4 linked regions of the Saccharomyces cerevisiae S288C genome follow. The main gene of each other region encodes a partner of the protein of the gene in region 3 in a complex. Each region holds a gene or a part of one and is shown on either strand. Other genes may lie near its edges.

Region 1 (2,540 bases), on a different chromosome or scaffold from region 3:
GGATATTTTAAAAAGGGCTAGCCGTAATTCGTCGACGTACTGGACACTGAATTATTTAAAAAAGCTAACCAAACTAGAGCCAGAAAGGACTTTCGATGTAATGGTAACATCAGTACCGCAGAACGGATTTACTGGATGTGTTTTTCCAGACTTATCGTTCGCTAGAGGAACATTAAAATTGCATCCAAGTTCTATGCATTATCCGATGATTGGAGATATCGTGAAGAATTGTAAAATTTCAAAAATTGACTGTTTAGAAGGAATGTTAGAGTTGGAAAAGCTATAAAAAGGGACTCTTTTTCCAAATATAAAATTCAATAGACCATGCATAATTTTCTTCTTGTAAATATATACATACATAAAATATGAAATCGAGATAGTGTATTGATTTCTTTGTATCAAAAATTGCATAAATTACTATTAACATATGTGCCTATGCAGGAAAAAATAATACTATATACATATATAAGTCAGGAATATCAAGAAGAAAGGAAATCCAGTTGCCTTATTTTCGCTGTTTCAGTCGATGGTTCTCTTCTCCACTATAAACCCAGGGTTTGACTTTCTCAACTCTCGTTGCTGCGATGGTGTTAATTCATGTTCTGTTACTTCTACTTTGACTAACTCTTTTACTTTAGCTAGGGAGCCAGCTATGGCCGGGTTTACTTTTTTGTAGACTATGGACCCTCTTTTACCTAAACCCAAACTTTTGACAATGCTCTTCGTTGTGTGTGGCACACCGATAAGCGACCTACTCAACGTGACTTTGTAAAACACCATTCCTGATATCTGCTTTCAACGTGTTTTAGCTGGTCCATCAATATTGATTCCATCACCTAACTTTTGGGATGATATACTTTATCCTTAATATCTAGAAAAGCTCTTCGAGAGATATTTCGTGCAGAAAGACCATTCATTTTTCAAAAAATGGTTGCACTAAAGCAAGAGGAAAGGAAAAGTAGTGTTGCAAGAAGATGAGATTGTAGTCTCCTTATAGCTTCTTAATTGTAGTTAAGAGTATTAAGTAAATATGACACAAGACAAAGAAGTCAAAGTGGTTGCCCCAGATGTTGCGCCCGACCAAGAAGTAGAAATTAATAAATCTGTAAAAGATGCAAAACATCAAACCAATGATGATTCGTTACTTCAACATAAAAAGAAGGGCAAGAAAGGTAAAAAATCGAAGCCCATAGTGACCCCAGAACATATCGCTAAGGTTCGTGCCGAAAGGGAAGTTATGAGAAAGGCTAAAAGAGATGCAATGTTGGCTCAAGGTGTTGATCCGGACTGCCCGCCAGAGCTGCATTTTATCAGAAGACCTTTCCTATCTCTACATGAGGCAGAGCCAGTAACTGGATTTAGATTCAAGCTAATGACTTATAATTGCTTGGCGCAAGCTCTAATCCGCAGAAAGCTGTTCCCGGATAGTGGTGACGCTTTAAAATGGTACAGGCGTTCTAAAGTTCTCTTAAACGAGTTTAAATATTATAATTCCGATGTCATTTGTTTGCAAGAGATTGATCATATTCAGTTTCAAAGCTTTTGGAAAGATGAATTCAGTAAATTGGGATACGATGGACAATATTATAGAAATGCTACAAAAAACCATGGTGTCGCGATAATGTGGAGGAGAGAATTATTTCACCAGGTTGACAAAATGCTAATCGACTATGATAAAGAAAGTTCAGAAAGCATTTCCACTAGAACAACGACAAACAACGTGGGATTAGTCTTAGCCTTGAAGTTTTCTGAGAAAGTACTGTCGAATTTGGGTAAAAAATCGTCTAAAAAATGCGGTATCTTGATCGGCACTACGCATCTATTTTGGCATCCATTTGGTACTTATGAACGAACAAGACAATGCTATATTGTTTTAAAAAAGATGAAGGAATTCATGCATCGTGTGAATGTTTTACAGAACGAAAATGATGGGGATTTATCTCATTGGTTTCCTTTTTTCTGTGGTGATTTTAATTCCCAGCCGTTCGACACACCATATTTATCTATGACATCCAAACCAGTGCACTATAGAAACAGGGCAAAGACCGTCATTGGGTGCAGCACTTCATATAAGTTTTCCAAGGTCCGTGATGGCGAAGAAGGTGCAGATGACGAAGAAGGCGGGAATATTGAAAAATATGGTAAAGATCAACCTGAGAGCCCCGTTCCTGAAAAATTTCATGCTAATGAAGAACAGTCTGAACTCGTAGATAAAATGGCACAACTCCATAACTCATTGGATATGAGGGCTATTTCACTATACTCTGTTGGGTATAAGAATGTTCATCCAGAAAATGCAGGTCTTGATAATGATAGAGGTGAGCCTGAAATTTCAAATTGGGCAAACACTTGGCGTGGTTTATTAGACTATCTATTTTATGTAAAGAAATGGGACCCACAAAGTAATTGTCAGGAAGTGGAAACCCTTGGCGATTTTGAAAAAGAAAATAAAGTTAAATGCAGAGGTTTTTTGAGAATGCCGCCCGGTAATGAAATGACAAAGCATGGACAACCACATGTTGGAGAATATGCAAGTGATC
Region 2 (2,621 bases), on a different chromosome or scaffold from region 3:
GTTGCCGGTACATCAATCTGGTGTCAAGTCCCTAGACTATGTTGCTAATGCTACAAGAACTTCCGCCACAATTTTGACAGGGGGTGATGATAATGGTTTAGGGTTAAGCAACCTGAAATTAGATGACTCGAATAAAGTAACGTTAAAAACAAGTGACTTTATCGCTGCAGCAGCTTCTTCGACAATAACGTCCGGTATGTTGATTAATGGTGGCAAAGAAGTCATTACCACATCGGTTGATCAAGTAATACGCGCTTGGGAAATTACCGCAGGCAAGCTTTCACTGGTAGATAAAAAGCGTACCACTGTGGCGGATACAGGATCATTAGAAATCATTTCCAATGATGAAGATGCTGATTCTGAGAAAACGTTACTGATCGGAGGTGTTGGTTTATCAATTTGGAAAAAATGATACAAAAAATTAACATATACATAAAAGAATATTATAGATATGTATTATTTACAGATTTTAGAAAATGAGAATATTTTGTAAACACCCGAACGGAGAACAGCGAAGAGATTTACATCTTTCAGCCTTGACGCTGTTTGTGTTTTTTATTCGACTTGCAATAAATGTATACTCTTCCCTTTCTTCTTACCAAGTAGCAATCACTGCAGAACTTTTTGACAGATGTTCTGACCTTGAAACCTCTGTTAAAAACCAAAGGTCTGTTAGCTGCAACAAGAGCTGGTTGCGGAGCTGCAACAGATAGGAGGCTGGGCACTGTGCAGGCCCTTGTTATCGTTATGGGGGACGGTTTCATGTGCAAAAACATCCTTGGCATAGTTAGGCGGAGAGTCTGTAAAAACATTCTTTGAAATCCTTTCGCTTGCTGAAAAATTCTGAGATTTGTACTATGAACCGTAGCCGTTATATGCGAGTAGATCGAGGCTATATCCCAATGCCAATAGTTCCACGATTCATTCCCTTTCTATTTGGAATAAGTGCGAAGACAGAATTTTTAATTTCGGCTTGGGTGAGAGAAAAAAAAAATCATAGTTTCGTTACGCAGATAGTAAATAACTAATACATAGATAAAAGCACCACCTTCTACCGGACCGTCGTCATTCTCGGCAACACCGTTGAAGTGTTTATGACTACGCTTTTTTTATCCTCACTTTTGGAATGCCCTTGAACTATGGACCTTTCACTCCCTATTGACAAATTCAAAAGACAAAAAAGGGAAACACTTGGAAAAGGTAACTTGACGTCCAATAATACACGCCGAATGAGGGCAGACTATGTCTTTCTTCCAACTGCCGTGGCAGTTGCGTACTTATCATTCTTATGTTCTTACAGTGGGATTCCACCATCATGGTAACCCGGTGCTTTTTTTCCTTGTGGTACGATTTTGGCTATGAGAAGAGAAAGAAAAGACAGAAAAAAACACGATCTTGAAATTAACTTTACCAGAAAGTGGATCTTGTGGTTGTCCGAAAGTCTACAAAGAGATTCAGTCACAACCGCAATCATACTCCATCCCTTCGTCACAGCAATAAATTAATCAGTTTCTTTGCCTTTGGTGGAAAGTAAAAAAAACTAAACTTGGTTCAGCACAGCGCTATATCTACGAGAACACCGTTGCCCACTCTTATACATTATTTTCACAGAGTCACATTCCCCACTGAATTCTCTCCTTAAGCTTCCTTTCTCTGTTTATTTTACCAATTTACAATTTCTAGAACTGATAGTCTCTGTACCTTTCCTTTAGATACACATACGCTTCATTTCTTTTGAACATTGTATTCTTCTATTTTCTTCGTTCTTCCGTTATTTGATATTTGCCCCTTTTTAAGTCTTCTGACTCACCTGTTCTGCTTTACCAATTAGGCTCCTTAATTGGTTCAACTGTCCATTCCAGCCTCATATTTTTCACTTTATCTTTCTTCATCATTTTTTTTGTCTAATTAATATCCGTTTCCAACTTCAATTCTCAAGGACACTCTTTTTTTTTTTGAAAAAAAATATCATATTTTTCTTTGCTAATACTATTTTATTTTTTCAATTCTGGTCGTTGAAGCCTTTTCTATTCAGATATTTCCTAAAGAAAAACAAAGAACTATCGTTGTATTTTTTTTTTTCTTCACCATCACATACTACTTCAATTGCATTAAAACATGGTGGTTTCTTATAACAATAATAATAACAATAACAATAACAATAACAATAATAATATCAGTAATAATAATAACAATAATAACATGTTCCCTCCTTTTCCTTCTTCCGATGACTTTGCAATGTATCAACAGTCCAGTTCTTCCGGCCCTTACCAAGAAACTTATGCGAGTGGCCCTCAAAACTTTGGCGATGCTGTGTATCCTATGAATGGTAATTTTACTCTTTTACCATCCGACTTTACACGAGAGCCTAATGATTCGTTCTTTTACGAGAATGACGGAATTTTTGATTATCAGCGTATTCAACAGCAACCAACTCAATTCCAGACAAAGCAGCGAAATGATTCACAACAGCAACGGTTTTCACAGGAACAAAATTTCGAAATTGATAACGAAGTTGTCCACAATAACAATCGTTATTATGAATATGAAAGGTCATCAAATGAAGTCTCTCCTTTTGATGATGAGAATCCAAATGTGTTATCTGATGGCATGTCACCCAC
Region 3 (3,260 bases):
ATTGTTCATCAAAATAACGGGACACGCATTCACTTAAATTTCGTTTCTTCACATGGATCTTGTCAGTAATAAAATCTAGAGAATATTAGTACCTCGGTAAATTTGTTGTACATACGCAACTGGAGAGGAAGGGGGAAATCAGTTGTGAATTGTAACCTGGACATAAGTTAGGATCTGCCACAGTTTTGCTTTGAACCGCTGCGAGAACGCTCCCACCACCACCGGCAAAGAGAACCAGCAGAGCGCTTAGACATTCCAACATTATCAGTATATCTCGTGTGTTCCTGCCTCTTGATGATTTTAGCTAGCTGTAATGTGTAACGAATTATTCCCTTACTGCTTCTTGAGTTAGCCGCCAAAGAGGAAATATAGCCACAAAAAGAACTTACAGAAAAGATAAGGTAAAAAAAAAAAGTGATCTATAATGGGAAAGAAAAATCCAAACTTCTTCAAAGAGTATATATATGTACAGGATATTAAAATGTAATGATAGTAGTAATAATAGTATTAACATAAGCTAAGCGGATCTTGCTGTTTCCAAAGCTTTTCTTGTTGCATCATCCTCTAACTTTTGAATTTCTTTCATAATAGTATCATATTTACTTTTTTGCTCTTTAGAAGTAACATCGTTAACAACATATATGTTTGGTGACGCGTAATTATCAGAAAATGGGTGGATAGCATTTGGCTCAGCTTCTTTATAAGCGAGTTTAGGATCGTTGGCAGATGGCAAAATTTTTTCCTTAATATACCTTTTAAACTGCAAGGGTGTGCTTAAAGTGGTCAGTTCATAATCAGGAATTAGATAGCCAGATTTAGATTGCAAAAATTTGGTGAACTGAAATTTAGCTACCAAATCAGAGAATTGGACGTCCTGGTCTACTTTGCCCAATGTTTTTTCCGTTGCCTGCAATATCATATCATCTAACTGATTATCAGACGTAATCTTATCCCTGGATAACCACTGATTGAATGGCGCAGAGGAGACCGCAAGCTTCAACTCCTTCTGTCTCTTACACCGTCTAGACCCTTCGCCAATAAAATTTTCTGGTATTAGCTCCAATCTGTTTTTGTTATTGGAAGAGGATTGAGAGGAAGCCTCGTTAGTGCCTTCTTCAATATCCTTTATCAACTGTTTGGTGTCCTTGACAGGCTCTTGGTGCTCTTCTTGCTTCTTCCTCTTGAACCATGACATAAAGTCCCCGTTTGCAGCGGAACTGTGAATACATCTGGCTTTCTGCTTGTAGCCAGAGAGCCAGACCGACCTTTGCGGCAATGGTCTAATACAATGTAATTTAAGCAGTGACGACATCCTCATACTATGTCCGCCTTTCCGTCTACCCATTATTCACTTCAGGACTGATGATCAGGCATGCAGTTAATTTGACAGAAGTCGTTGTTTCACTATAAATTTGTCAGCTACCCGCCTCACCAGCAGCGATAAAGAACGAAGAATAAAAGAGAGCATTCACAGAGTACGAATCCAGTATAGCGGTAGTGGATACAACGACAGATTTAAGTCGTAAAAATGGGAGCCGTACTCAGCTGTTGTAGAAACCATTCCGGCGAAGAGAATGAAGCTTTGCTGAGGGAACAGCAGGCAGGCTATGGAAGTCAAGGAAACGCAAATGACGAATACGATGCCGAACAAATGCGGTTGAAGGAACACGAACACGAACAGAAACTGCTGGCCAGGGAACAAGAGTTAAGAGACATTGTTGCAAACACCAACGATAAACTAATAGACATATCGATGATAAACAATAGTGGCATTGTAATTCAAGGGACAGACCTGCAAGAAGCTCTTGATAAAAGACAACAGGAAGAAGGTGGAGATTCCCGGGAAGACGAAAGGAGTGCAGGTGATGACAACCTCAGTGGGCACTCAGTGCCTTCAAGCGGATCCGCACAGGCAACTACTCACCAAACTGCACCAAGGACTAATACGTTTACTCTGCTTACATCACCGGATTCAGCGAAAATATCAAAGGAACAGTTAAAGAAGTTGCACTCTAATATACTAAATGAAATTTTCAGCCAGTCCCAGGTAAACAAACCAGGCCCCTTGACGGTTCCCTTTTAATGAACTTTTTGTATAACATCATTGGTATACAAGCTTTATAAATAAATGTTAAATAGTTAATGAAATAAAAAATCACATTTGACGAATTCGGAAGACAAGTAGCCCAAGAAAAAAAACAACAAAAGCATGCTAGAGGATGATGTTTAAAACGACCCTCAGCCTGTTATTACAATAGAGAGCAAACCAAAGAATAATAGATAAAGTACACAGATATGGTAGTTAAGAAGCGTAAGTTGGCAACTGAGGCCGGTGGCAGTGATGAAAGGCCTAAATACTTGCCGGGAAAACATCCTAAAAACCAAGAGAAAACTCCGCATGTGGATTATAACGCCCCATTAAACCCTAAATCTGAACTTTTTCTAGATGACTGGCATATACCTAAATTTAATCGATTTATTAGTTTCACTTTGGATGTTCTTATCGACAAATACAAAGATATTTTCAAAGATTTCATCAAACTACCAAGTAGGAAGTTTCATCCACAGTATTATTACAAGATCCAGCAGCCAATGTCTATTAATGAAATCAAGTCAAGAGATTATGAATACGAAGATGGTCCAAGTAATTTTCTTTTGGATGTTGAGCTACTGACAAAGAATTGTCAAGCTTACAATGAATATGACAGTTTGATTGTAAAAAACTCCATGCAAGTAGTAATGTTGATTGAATTTGAAGTATTGAAGGCAAAAAATTTGAAAAGAAATTACTTAATTAACAGCGAGGTCAAAGCCAAATTACTGCACTATCTTAATAAGCTAGTTGACGCCACGGAAAAGAAAATCAACCAGGCTCTGCTGGGTGCGTCATCTCCTAAAAACTTAGACGACAAAGTCAAGCTAAGTGAACCGTTTATGGAATTAGTCGATAAAGATGAACTTCCTGAATATTATGAAATAGTGCATAGCCCCATGGCTTTATCGATCGTAAAGCAGAACCTCGAAATTGGTCAGTATTCCAAGATATATGATTTCATCATTGATATGCTTTTAGTTTTTCAGAATGCTCATATATTCAATGATCCAAGCGCTTTGATTTACAAAGACGCAACAACTTTAACAAATTATTTTAACTACTTAATACAAAAGGAATTCTTCCCAGAGTTACAGGATTTAAATGAACGTGGCGAAATTAATTTAGAATTTGACAAATTCGAATTCGAAAACTACTTAGCTATTGG
Region 4 (3,439 bases), on a different chromosome or scaffold from region 3:
ACGTTACCCTCTATACTATAACCGTTGTATTTCTCAATCGCTCTATGCAGATCTTTAATATCATAAAAGGACACCGTACCAGATCCAGTGGATACTCCATCGCCATCCAATTCCACATCAGCGTGTGCGACATTCCCACATTCCTTGAATATGTCTTTCAAAGCCTGCCAATTAACGGAAGCAGGTAAATTTTTTACAATAACTTCATGTGTTTTTCGGTTATGTCTAAGCTCTCCTCTATCGAGTGCTTTCCTTTCCTTGATATTGTTTGACGGTGGTGGATTATCTTGCCTGACGAAGATTTTACGATCCATGAAGAAGGCCCCATCGTACTGGCGGATGGCCCTGTCAACATCATCCGAATTAGTGAACTCTACTGTACCCATACCTCTGTGGTGCCCTCTTGATGTAATTATATCCGCGCGGACTACTTTTCCTATCTGTGAAAAAAACTCAGTGAGATCTTCGGGGGTGCTGTCATATGTTAAATTACCCACGAATATACTATTGGAATAGTTTCTATTGACCTTTTCTTCGTATGTACTATCCAATTCACGTGCCAACAAAGGACCGTAATCACCTCTTGCTCCACTACTACCAAAACCGCCTCTCCTACTGTCATCACGTGTATTGTGTCTACTCCTAAAGCTTCTAGGATAGTCATCACGTCTGTTCCCATAACGACCAGTCACATCTCTTCCTCTGCGCCTATCATCGTAACGGTCTCTAGATCTAGGATTATCTCTGTTATTGAACCTTTCTCTTTCTCTGTAATCAGACCTTTCTCTACCTCCTCTATATTCTCCTCTATCTCTGCTTCCTCTGTACGTATCTGCGAACTTACGCCTACCGTTATAATTACCTGACCTCCGGGACAAATGGTTGTCTCTTTCATAACCATGATCATCACTCATCCGACGACGAACAGGTGATCTCGACCTCGATCTACTTCGATTATTCTACAACAATGAATAACATTAGTAAAAGTAACTAAATTTCATAATGAGAGAGACCAATAAGTCATTGCGTTTCAAAGTTGGAATAAACTGTACATTATAGCATGGCAGGTAGAAAATCAGGGTTTTATTTATAATTGATATTCTCACTTTCATAGCCAGTAGATAAACATTAGCAATGCATTCAAAAAACCCCCTTTAACCAGTGGAATCACATTGAAGCAAGCGTTTTGAAGGCAGCATTAAATGGTGACTCACCATTCGTTGATGTCTATTTAATTCCAATGACCTCATAAAGTCTCATTTTACAAACTTTTCTTCACCTCCCTTATCAATGAAACATACGTTTTCTGAACCTCGTTCTTGATCAGACATATCCTGTTAACTTAATATTTGGCGTTCTATCTGCTCATTCAAACTGTTTTCGAACTCATGAGCAAACATAATTATGAAATTTTTCAGCCAGTACTCTACTTTTTCATTTCCCTCGCTAAACAAAGAGAGTCATTTGAAACGACCCAAGGAAAGACGTAAATTGAGGTATATGTAGTGACCAGAAGAGGATAAGGATGGCTAGAGTTTGGTGTTCAAGTTCAATTGTTTGGTTGAATAGGTACTAAAAAGATTTTCACACAACGGCTTCTCTGTAATGTTATACACACTGTTTTTATACCAATTATGCAAATTTGGCTGTTATGACTGGGTGTTTCGATATCTGACGTTCCGCTATTGAATTTTAAAGCTCTTTCTTTGGAGACTCATTCAAGATAGTTCACTGAAGAATGAAGTTGGCTCATTGTAAAAATAAAACTCGCCAGTTTGGGTGGTCATAATATTTCAAGCTTAACCTAAGGTGAGAATATGTGGAATCCTATTTTACTAGATACTTCTAGTTTTTCATTCCAAAAACATGTGTCTGGTGTGTTCCTTCAAGTGCGTAATGCCACCAAAAGGGCTGCGGGCTCGAGAACAAGTATGAAGGATTCTGCAGGAAGAAGGTTAGGACCAAAAAAATATGAAGGCCAGGATGTTTCCACAGGTGAAATTATTATGAGGCAAAGAGGAACAAAGTTTTATCCTGGAGAAAACGTTGGTATAGGGAAAGATCATTCCATATTCGCCTTAGAACCTGGTGTTGTTCGTTACTATCTTGATCCTTTTCATCCTAAAAGAAAATTCATTGGTGTTGCCTTGAGGCGTGATTTGAAACTGCCATCTCCTCATTTTGAGCCTACCGTAAGGAGGTTTGGCCGTTTTGAGTTAACAAATAAAAGGGCAGCATATAAGGAAGAAAATTCTATTTCTAGAAAAGACTATCTCGCAAAACCTAATATTTTGAAGCAGTTAGAGGTCAGGGAATCTAAAAGAAAGGAGTTACAAGACAAGTTGAGTAAGGTTCTTCGGGATGAACTTAAGTTAGATATAAAAGACATCGAATTGGCAACGTCATACTTAATTCGTGTAAGGGCTTCCCTGAAGAATGGATACCCCATAGAAGATGCAAGGTTCAATAGTAGATATTATTTAAAAGAAGAAGAGCGTTTGAAGGCAAGGAGAGAAAGCTGGACGAATGAGAAATTGTCGGAGAGTCTATCCAAGATTGATGAGTGTAGTGATCTTTTGAACTCATCTACATCTTTCAATAACAAGCTAGAGCTACACCAGTATATTTCGGAACAAGAAAAACAAGCTTTGAAGGCAAAACTATTAGAGGACCTAGAAAAATCCCAACACTTAGAAACCAAAAAAGACAAGAATTATATTAAGGCGCTTTTCAAGGACGCTTGTAATTTTTTGACTTTATCTGAAGAAGTACATTTGCGTAGGAAATACTTAAAGTCGGTCTTCCCCGAAACAGATAGTACGGTTGAAACCAAAAGCGGGAAGAAGTCAATTGTGTCTAGACGTTTTGATTACACCAAAAATAAAGTTGAAGTCATTGCTAGAAGTAGGCGGGCTTTTTTGAGCAAGCTTTGATTTTCTTTCCTTACGCACAGTATGTACACATATAAAATGTTTAAGAATGCCTGTAAATATTACTATTTTGTCGCGCAAGTAGCTAAACCTTTCGTCTACACGAAACTTAAAATTTAGTGCTACATGCAAGGGAATATGTTTATACTGTACATTCTCGTCTTCCTTTCATTGATGATATGCATCGCGATTGCTTTCATTTTGTGAACAATCAATTAACTAAAATGCACAGGATAGTAAAATCTATATTTACAAAAAGGCGGATAAGCAAACACTGAAAATCATAATGTTTTTTGTCACTTCGGTCCTTCAAGCTTGGTAGTTGATAAATTGTAAACTATACATCGTTTAATGCGACACATACAGCTCCCTTGTGGTGTCCACCGTACTGTCTGACAATTTCTCTAGTTGATAAATCCCATAATCTCACGTAATGATCGGACGATGCCGTTACTAGATACGCACTGTCAGCACTAAATGCGCAATCCCAAACCCACCTTTGGTGGCCA

What was found.
Region 1: MRPL13 (region 3) and MRPL33 share a complex: the UniProt entries of both Saccharomyces cerevisiae proteins name them as parts of the mitochondrial large ribosomal subunit.
Region 2: MRPL13 (region 3) and RTC6 share a complex: the UniProt entries of both Saccharomyces cerevisiae proteins name them as parts of the mitochondrial large ribosomal subunit.
Region 4: MRPL13 (region 3) and MRP7 share a complex: the UniProt entries of both Saccharomyces cerevisiae proteins name them as parts of the mitochondrial large ribosomal subunit.

Annotation. Positions count from the first base shown.
Region 1 is NC_001145.3:840,182-842,721, reverse strand, and holds MRPL33 (mitochondrial 54S ribosomal protein uL30m MRPL33), read right to left. Parts: upstream 781-2,540; coding exon 520-780; downstream 1-519. Other genes in the region: DSS1 (exoribonuclease II), read left to right, coding at 1-286; NGL2 (RNA exonuclease), read left to right, coding at 1,031-2,540. UniProt on the Saccharomyces cerevisiae protein: Component of the mitochondrial ribosome (mitoribosome), a dedicated translation machinery responsible for the synthesis of mitochondrial genome-encoded proteins, including at least some of the essential transmembrane subunits of the mitochondrial respiratory chain.
Region 2 is NC_001148.4:197,286-199,906, reverse strand, and holds RTC6 (mitochondrial 54S ribosomal protein bL36m RTC6), read right to left. Parts: upstream 813-2,621; coding exon 531-812; downstream 1-530. Other genes in the region: tRNA (34-2'-O)-methyltransferase regulator RTT10, read left to right, coding at 1-412; MRN1 (Mrn1p), read left to right, coding at 2,119-2,621. UniProt on the Saccharomyces cerevisiae protein: Component of the mitochondrial ribosome (mitoribosome), a dedicated translation machinery responsible for the synthesis of mitochondrial genome-encoded proteins, including at least some of the essential transmembrane subunits of the mitochondrial respiratory chain.
Region 3 is NC_001143.9:449,906-453,165, forward strand, and holds MRPL13 (mitochondrial 54S ribosomal protein mL50 MRPL13), read right to left. Parts: upstream 1,313-3,260; coding exon 518-1,312; downstream 1-517. Other genes in the region: YKR005C (uncharacterized protein), read right to left, coding at 1-46, 116-262; MEH1 (Meh1p), read left to right, coding at 1,529-2,083; RSC4 (Rsc4p), read left to right, coding at 2,296-3,260. UniProt on the Saccharomyces cerevisiae protein: Component of the mitochondrial ribosome (mitoribosome), a dedicated translation machinery responsible for the synthesis of mitochondrial genome-encoded proteins, including at least some of the essential transmembrane subunits of the mitochondrial respiratory chain.
Region 4 is NC_001146.8:620,807-624,245, reverse strand, and holds MRP7 (mitochondrial 54S ribosomal protein bL27m MRP7), read left to right. Parts: upstream 1-1,817; coding exon 1,818-2,933; downstream 2,934-3,439. Other genes in the region: HRB1 (mRNA-binding protein), read right to left, coding at 1-959, 1,302-1,331; TOR complex subunit LST8, read right to left, coding at 3,268-3,439. UniProt on the Saccharomyces cerevisiae protein: Component of the mitochondrial ribosome (mitoribosome), a dedicated translation machinery responsible for the synthesis of mitochondrial genome-encoded proteins, including at least some of the essential transmembrane subunits of the mitochondrial respiratory chain.